Cricetulus griseus: one gene and its partner. The main gene of each other region encodes a partner of the protein of the gene in region 2 in a complex. Links are inferred from orthologs where the notes say so. Each region holds a gene or a part of one and is shown on either strand. Other genes may lie near its edges.

Region 1 (3,820 bases), about 75 Mb from region 2:
CCTTTCTTATGTGAAGAAACATTAGTATGCTAAACTATTTGAAGTCTTATGGTAATATTTGTTAATCCAAATAAAGAATTCCAAAAGAAATAAAAAAGTTTCCTTAATAAAATGTTTGATTAAAATAGCACAAACCTAGTGCCTCTGCCCTCTAAAAACCCATACCCAAAATGAATAAAGAAAAAAACTAATCACTATTTTGGGAAGCTATTTAAGAATCAACTTCTGTCTGTGTACATCTACTTAATGCCACTGATTTTGTGGCTTGAGTTGCTATCAGCAACAGATTTGGCCACATTTTTTTTTTTTAAATTTTATTCATTTATTATGTATACACTCTTATTGCCTGCATGCCAGCAGAGGGCACCGGATCTCATTCAAGGTGGTTGTGAGCCACCATGTGGTTGCTGGGAATTGAACTCAGGACCTCTGGAAGAACAGTCAGTGCTCTTAACTGCTGTTCATCACCAGCCATCTCACCAGCCCTTGGCCACATTTATTAAGAGTTCTATGTTAAAGCTGAATCTTTTATAAAAGGCAAAACATTTCCATAGCAAACAAAATCTTTAAAGCCCCAAATTTCTCTCTCTCTCTCTCTCTCTCTCTCTCTCTCTCTCTCCTCTCTCTCTCTTTTTTTGGTTTTTTCGAGACAGGGTTTCTCTGTGTAGCTTTGGAGCCTATCCTGGCACTCGCTCTGGAGACCAGGCTGGCCTCGAATTCCTGAGTGCTGGGATTAAAGGCCTGCACCACCAACACCTGGCGCAAAGCCCCAAATTTCTAAAGGTAATGTTTAAAATAGAAATCTAAGAAGCACTGGCTGGTAATTTTAAGTTTGGGTCACTCTGTCAGATAGGTAAATTTAAGGTTTTATCACTCAGATAGCAGAATCTTGACTGTGGTACTTGTGAGTGGTTGAAACAATGGCCTTAAAACTGGGAGTGATGGCTCAGAGGTTAAGAGCACCATCTGCTCTTCCAGGGTTCCTGAGTTCAATTCTCAGCAACCACATGGTGGCTTACAATCATCCATTATGAGATCTGGTGCCCTCTTCTAGTGTGCAGATATACATGGAAGCAGAATGTTGTATACATAATAAATAAATAAAATCTTAAAAAAAAACAAAACAAAAACTAAGAATAACATTTGAATTTTCTAATTTTTCTCAGATCAGAAAAGGGTAGAGACTTATAGTCAGCACTAGAGTTAACTATATTTTTAGTTTCAAAAAAATATACATGTTGAAAGTGAAAGAGATTTAGCTACATATTTGGTTTTACAAAAAGAATGGAAAATTGCAGTAGAACTTAAAATAATCTGTCGTTCTTGGACCCAAATACAGTTTTTACTAGATTAGTTTACAAAACATGTCCTCAAGTTCAACACTCTAAAACACAATTCTAGTTCACCTGTGTTCGCAGACTTAAAAGACATATTTTGCCAGAGTTGATCACTTGTCGTACAGAATCGATGCTGGTTCCATACAAATTTTTCTCAAATTCACCATGTTCAATGAACTTGCCAGCTGCTATATCTGCTTCAAATGCTTGCCGTGAAACGAAGTGGTAATCTCTACCAGCTACTTCATGGTCTCGCCTATTCCGAGTTGTATCTAAGCAAACACAATCAGATAAAAATAATGAACACAAGGGCCTGCAGGGAATGACTGGAGGTCAAGAGCATATTCTGGCCTTTCCAGAAGACCTGAGCTCAGTTCCTAACACTCTCATCAGGTAGCCTACAGCTCCGGGTACATGGAGCCTGCTTCTGCTCTCCACAGGCAAGTGCACTAACATGCATACCCTCTTCTCCCAATATACATACAAATAAAACAAATCTTTAATAATAATGTTAGTAAACATGGATCAGCATGGAGTAAGATCAATCCAGGAAGAATTTTTATTTTATAACACAAATTATGAAATAATGAACTGAGGAAATGTTAAGGGCCTGTGTGTTTAGCACTGTTCCTATGGAGACATGAACAAAAACTATTTATACTCTCTTACTAGTTAACCTTAGTTACCTTGATCCATTTGGTTTATACTGTAAAACACTGCCAAGTCATCTTTCCTTAAAATGTATTTCCATAAGAGTAGGTACTATGTAATCTTAAATTTGTATTCAGAAATTAGGTCTAAATTTCTATCTTCAACATCAGTATTTAAAGAATCAGGAATTGGGTTTCCTATGTAATAGGGAAAGGGGCCCAAACTAAAAAAATTTTTTAGAAAATCCCCTAGTGCCATACACTTAGGAAAATTTTAATTCCTTAAGACTACCTTTAGCTGGGCGGTGGTGGCACACACCTTTAATTCCATCATTCAGGAAACAGAGGCAGATAGATGTCTGTGAGTCTGAGGCCAGCCTGGTCTACAGAGTAAGTTCCAGAACAGGCGCCTAAGCTACAAAGAAATCCTGTCTCAAAAAACAAAAACAAACAAAAAGAACTACCTTTAATAAAAACTTGCCATCAGGTTTGGTTAAACAAATTTCCTCTTTCATTGACAATATTGTTTCAATAAAATGAAATTTTCCCTGTGTAGTTAAGATTCTGAGAAAAGCACAGGAAAATGGGAATGTGTCCAAACTTACGAGGGACTGCAGATGCAAAGCGGTCTTTTTCTTTGTTCATGAGTCTCTGACGCAGTTCATTCTGGCCGCAGTTCTGTGGACCAATCAAGATAATAGGTCTTTTCCTATTTGCTGGCTGATGGTAAAGTGACATTTCCTCGTATGTTAAGATCTCTTCATTGTCATAATCTTTGGGAAAGAAAGAGTTGAAAATTTCAGATATAATTAATGCCATGTCATAGATACTTTCTTACATAAAATAGCTAGGTTTTGTTGGTAGTGTTGAGTGCTTGTTTTTGAGGCAGGAGCTTGTTCCGTAGCCCAAGCTAGCTTCAAACTTGTGGCAATCCTCCTGCCTTAGCCTCCCAAGTGCTGAGATTACAGGTGTTTAAACCACCCTGTCTAATTTAAAAGTAACTAGTTTGCAAGTGAACACTGTAACACAGGAGACTGCTAGGGGATATTTATGTGTCAGTTTCATAAAGACTACACTTAATAGGGTTATTTTTAGGATCAGATATAATGGAGAGCAAGTATGGATAAACATCCGCACACAGTGGCTATGACTAGTATATCTGAGAGTGCTAGAATGCTTTCCTGTACTTACACAAATTAAAAATAAATCACACTTATACTATTTATCCTCTGATCCAGAATCATGACTCAAAATACAAGCTATAAGGAGTGAGGTAACACTCCTAAAAACCTAAGATAAGATGAAGCCAAAGCTATCAAGTCAGAACAAAGGCAAGCAATTAGCAGCCCTTATGAGGAAGAGGCACCAGGAAGTTCCATAAGGGAGGGAACCTTTTTAGTCTTGCTAGTATCCACCATAAGAGTTGGAGCTAGAATTTAAAAATTCTAACTCAGCTGTTTAATTAGCTGTAACAATTTAAGCAGAAACTTTAATATCTGAACTTCCATCTCATCTTGTAAGTCTGCAACCTCAAGGAATTTACTGTGAGACAAAAGTACAGTACATCATTTATTGCCATGGAGCACAGCAAGTACTTTAAGCAGCACTGACAATTGCTGCTTTTCTCAAAGTCAAAATCACACTGGTGGCATTCTGATTCCCAGACTTACTCAATTCTACATCTGGGGGCTTCAGATTTGCCAAGTATCCTACAGTATAGAAGCTCTCAGGGCCATACTGATCAACTCGAGTCTGTTTTAAGAAGTAGAACATTTACCTCAAATGCATGAGGTCTCAGGTTCAGTTCTCTGCACACAGAGAGATTGTGAGTGG
Region 2 (4,582 bases):
GTTGATAAGAAATTAAGGGGATAGGGAGATGCCCCAGTCAGCAAAATGCTTGCCTTGCAAGCATGAAGACCCAAGTTCAATCCCCAGAACCCATATTTAAAACTCAAGCACTTAGAATTCCAGCAATGGGGAGGTGGATCCTTGGGACTCACTGAGCAGTCAGCCTAGTCTAATCAATGAGTAGCAGGCCAATGAGAACCCTTGTCTCAAAAAAGCGTGGATGGCACCTAAGTCATAACATCTGAGGTTGTCTTTGACCTGTACATGTGTGCCCATAAGCACACTGGCTCATATGCACATATGTAAGTACACAATGCAAACACACACATGCACATTCATGCACACACATGCACACACTCAGGCACACATGAACAGAAAGCAAAAATGACTTCACCTCATTTCTTCTGCATCTTCCTTTCCTTGGGTCTAAGTGCAGTTGGATAATGAGAGTCAAATGCTTTTAATCCCTTGAGCTACTCAGAATTCTAATGCCTACCTTCTTTGTGGAAGATTTTAGGAAATACTAGATCACTTACAAAGTCATCTACAAATCAGTGCCTTAACTGAAACATACATTTAGATGAATCCCATTTCTTGATTTATGACTAGCTGTTTAATCAACATCATCATTTTGTGGTCCAAAAAGCCAAGCATAGAAAAGTGAAAAATAAATAAAATCACTGTTTATCTAATGGGGGTATGTTGTACTAAATATTCCAGGTCTTCACACACAGCATTTCTCAGTCTTCCAGGAGCACAGCATAGCTACACACACTTTACAGACTAAAACAGATAATGTCACACTGCAAATATACTGAAGCCCGGGATGCAGACTTCATCTTCCAGAAACCTTCTCTGTTCTAGGAATCTATTTTTGAAACACAATTGGAATAATGAAGAAGAGCAGTAAGTCTGTGACTCTCTCTAAGTTGATTGGATGCATTTCCAGTTTGATGTCTGCAGCATTGCATGCTGGAGGATATAGAACATTTTGGAGCTCCCGAGAGAGCTCTGTGTGATGTTGCCTTTAACACTTGGTAAAAGGAGGCAGATCTCAGTTTGCAACAAGCCTGAGGTATGTAGTGAGACACTGTCATGCTTGTGTGTGCATACATGTGTGCAGGAACATGCACACACACACACACACACACACACACACACACACACACACACATTCACACAGTAGAGGAAGTCATTTATAAACAAGAATTATATGCCCAGCTACACTACAGATTTAATAGAAATAGAGGGAAAAAAAAGAAGATTCCAAATTTCCTCTTTTACTTGATTTTCAGGAAGATTCTGAGAGACCATGAATGAAAATGACGATGAAACCAAAAAAGAAGACATTCATTCTAGGAAATCTTGTCAGAAACCTAGCAGGACAAAAACAAGCAGATTTTTACTAAAAAAAGAAATCCCAGCACCCCAGATGTGCCATCAGTGTCAACATTAAGCAGAGCAGAAAGTGGAGCCTCATGAGGGATGTGTCAGAGAAGAAAAATGCAAATAAACAGACCAAGTGTAAAACTCAAAGCAACTTTTACTGCTATTAATTTTGGGAGAATGCTAAAAACTGTACAAGAAAGGAGATGAAATCAGTGTAGGTGGGGAAGGAAAATCAATACACAGATTGAGGAGAAAATAAAATCGCAACTTATGAGAATAACACTTTGCTGTAAAATAATATAAAACTGTAACTGATTTAAGGAACAATAGAGTATAGTGGTGTGTGTGTGTGTGTGTGTGTGTGTGTGTGTGTGTGTGTGTGTGAGAGAGAGAGAGAGAGAGAGAGAGAGAGAGAGAGAGAGAGACAGAGACAGAGACAGAGACAGACAGAGACAGACAGAGACAGACAGAGACAGACAGAGACAGAGAGAGAGACACCTGATGAAGAATTAAGTCAATTTTGCCACAGAAGGGTACAGTAATATTTTGTTTTGTTTTATATTGCTTTGCTTTCCTTTGTTTTGAAACAGGGGCTCTCTACATAGTCCTGGCCATTCAGCAACTCGTTAGTGTAGACTGGCTGGCCTCATAGTGATCCACCTGTTTCTACCTTTGGTGTGCAGGGCTTAAAGGTGTACACAACCACGCCCAGTTAGGATGCCAGTACTTTGCGTATGTAAAGATGAAAGAAACATCCAGGAAATATAAATGAAGACAAAAAGAAATTCTTAGATGTGGTTCAAGAACTTTGTCCTGGAGTGTACACCCCTGGCATGAGAAGCAGGTTTGTGCTTCATCACAGATCTGGGGATTCTGAAGGGATTACTGAAATACATGTGATAAAATATTTGCAAAGCAGAGCAGATGGATTTAAATACAGTCCACACCCTGTCCCTCATTGTTCTGTTTCTCTGTACATTGAAATGCGCTTTTAGTGAGGCTACAGTGGCACATTTTGCTCTCCTTGTGCCTGGTGCCATTAACACTGTCTACCATGTAGGTTTGTGGATGTGTCCTGAGATGCTAACAGGCTTTCTTACAGATGAAGTTCAGCATACATGTACTGACTAATGAGAAAATTATCTGTCAGAAAGAAAAGTCTGGTTTTTCTAATTTATAAAATATTTTCAATTTACTATATTTTATTTGGCACGATCTCACCTAGGCAGCCTTCAGACTTGAACTCTTGGGGATAATAGACATGTGTCACTCTGTCTGGCTAACCTAACTCTTTCTTGAGATGAACAAATTGATTAAATTGTTAAATAAGCAGCTAAGGAAACAAAACTAAAACAAAAATTTATAATGGGTGTCTATGACCTAAGGATCATGGCCACTCCAACTTTTCCACGAATCTTGGTGAAAAAAGTCACCTGTGCAAGCCAGGCACACTGCATTCTCTCGGTGAAAATGAAAACAATTTTAATAATTATTACGCTTTAGAGTCCGACTCATTAATAAGATTTAAATTTATCACTGGGATTTAGTTACCTGGAAAACGGGCATAGGGAATTTGCCTTTCATAATAGCTTTCTAACTGAGAGTAGGAAAATTCACTGCGCGGTTAATGCTCAGAACAAGACAGAGGCTATAGCATCCTTTCCTTGCAGTGAAGTTCGCCATCTACTGACGCTCTTAAGAAATTCTTCATCAGAGAGCTTTAAATTTCCTTTTCTTCCTTCCTTTCTTTTCTTGTCCCTCTAAGAACAGCAGAATTCCTTCAAGGAAAATGTCTTGAGTGATCCGGGTGAACACATCAGCAGTAGGCCTGGTCCAATTGAGGCACTGCGGACGCGGCCCTTGCTTCCGGTCCAACAGGACTTGCCCCCTCTTCCTTGGAGATGCCCTTCAGGAGTCCCGAGGACTGAGAACAATGGCAGAAGGGGGGAAAAGCATTTCTCATAATTTTTACAAGTAACCATTTTTGCATTTCCCATTGCCATTTTAAAATGAAATAATTACATTTGTTGAAAAGTAGGAATTAATTTCACCAGTTGTAAAGATATTAAAGACTCGTACTTCTTTGCATGTGTATGTCAGTGTATTATTCTGTAATTAAATTTATATGGAAAGTAGGCACCTTGGCAATTTAGCTAGTTGTGAAGTGCATCGTATTTATTCTCCTGGTGGAATGGGAAGGAATCTTTCCAGGAGGGAACCGTTTAATTTTTCAGAGGTTGCTGTCGACAGCATTTATTCTTTAAGCTGTCCTGGTCTTCTATCTACTTACCAAAGAAGAAGATAACTGAATGCTTTTTGAACATTCGATTATCTGAAAAATCAAGGTATTGTTTAATATCACCACTTCATTAACTTTTCTATTAACCAATAAAGAAGGTGAAGCCAAGGGGACAGTGGGACAGCACCAAGTCTGTCTCTGCTTGCGAAGCTTCTGTCTCCTCCTCTTCGAAACCTGAGCAGGACAATTTGTCTGTTTTTTTATGGAGATTAAGTCATTAGATCTTAATCCTGGGCAAGCATACTAAGCCCAAGATAAATGCTATATATGAGGTTGTGAAATGACCTAACTAACCATACAGAGAAAAAGATGTGTTGTATTGTCCTCAGCACCTATTTATCCCAATATACACTCTACAGTTATTTCCTGAGTATGGATTTTGCAAGCCATGCTTCTTTAATGATGTCTTTATACCAAACATGCACTTGTATATGGTCACCAACTATAATCACTACATACAAGCCATGTGTGAAGAAGTAATGATTAATACTCATTAAAAACATTTTCACATAAGTATTCCATTGTTATCCCTTTCTCAGTCTTTTCTTAGAATTTAAGACTCTCTAATCATGTCTGCCATTCATTTTTATTGATACTGAACTTAAGCATCAAATTCATTCTCTGCCATCAGAAAGATGGGAAGGGGGAAATGGCTGGAACTATTATGTGTCATATTTGGGTCAAAAATAGCAATTTTAATATGCCCATATTTAGTCAAACTAAACTCCCCACTACTACTGTCCCAATAGTATATGCACACTTATTTGGGTTCACATTGCTCAGAGGCACAAGTTTTTCCTGGATTTATTAATTCATTTTTGGTTTTTTCAGACTAGTGGGACATAGTCAAGGACTTAGAGAACTCATTTCTAAGGGGTGTGCTAGCTTTGGTGT

The links.
Region 1: the proteins of Crb1 (region 2) and Mpp5 are in contact, whole or in part, in a crystal structure (PDB 4UU5), measured with the Homo sapiens proteins. The link is inferred for Cricetulus griseus from reciprocal best matches to the Homo sapiens genes CRB1 and PALS1. Residues at the interface, in NP_957705.1 of Homo sapiens: Ala1401, Met1402, Glu1403, Arg1404, Leu1405, Ile1406; in NP_071919.2 of Homo sapiens: Lys261, Pro266, Leu267, Gly268, Ala269, Thr270, Val271, Arg272, Asn273, Ser281, Arg282, Val284, Val314, Asn315, Val317, Phe318, Leu321.

Annotation. Positions count from the first base shown.
Region 1 is NC_048598.1:124,811,349-124,815,168, forward strand, and holds part of Mpp5 (MAGUK p55 subfamily member 5), read right to left. Parts: intron 2,761-3,820; coding exon 2,593-2,760; intron 1,610-2,592; coding exon 1,407-1,609; intron 1-1,406. UniProt on the Homo sapiens protein: Plays a role in tight junction biogenesis and in the establishment of cell polarity in epithelial cells.
Region 2 is NC_048598.1:49,995,076-49,999,657, reverse strand, and holds the start of Crb1 (protein crumbs homolog 1), read right to left. Parts: upstream 2,847-4,582; coding exon 2,770-2,846; intron 869-2,769; coding exon 816-868; intron 1-815. UniProt on the Homo sapiens protein: Plays a role in photoreceptor morphogenesis in the retina. May maintain cell polarization and adhesion.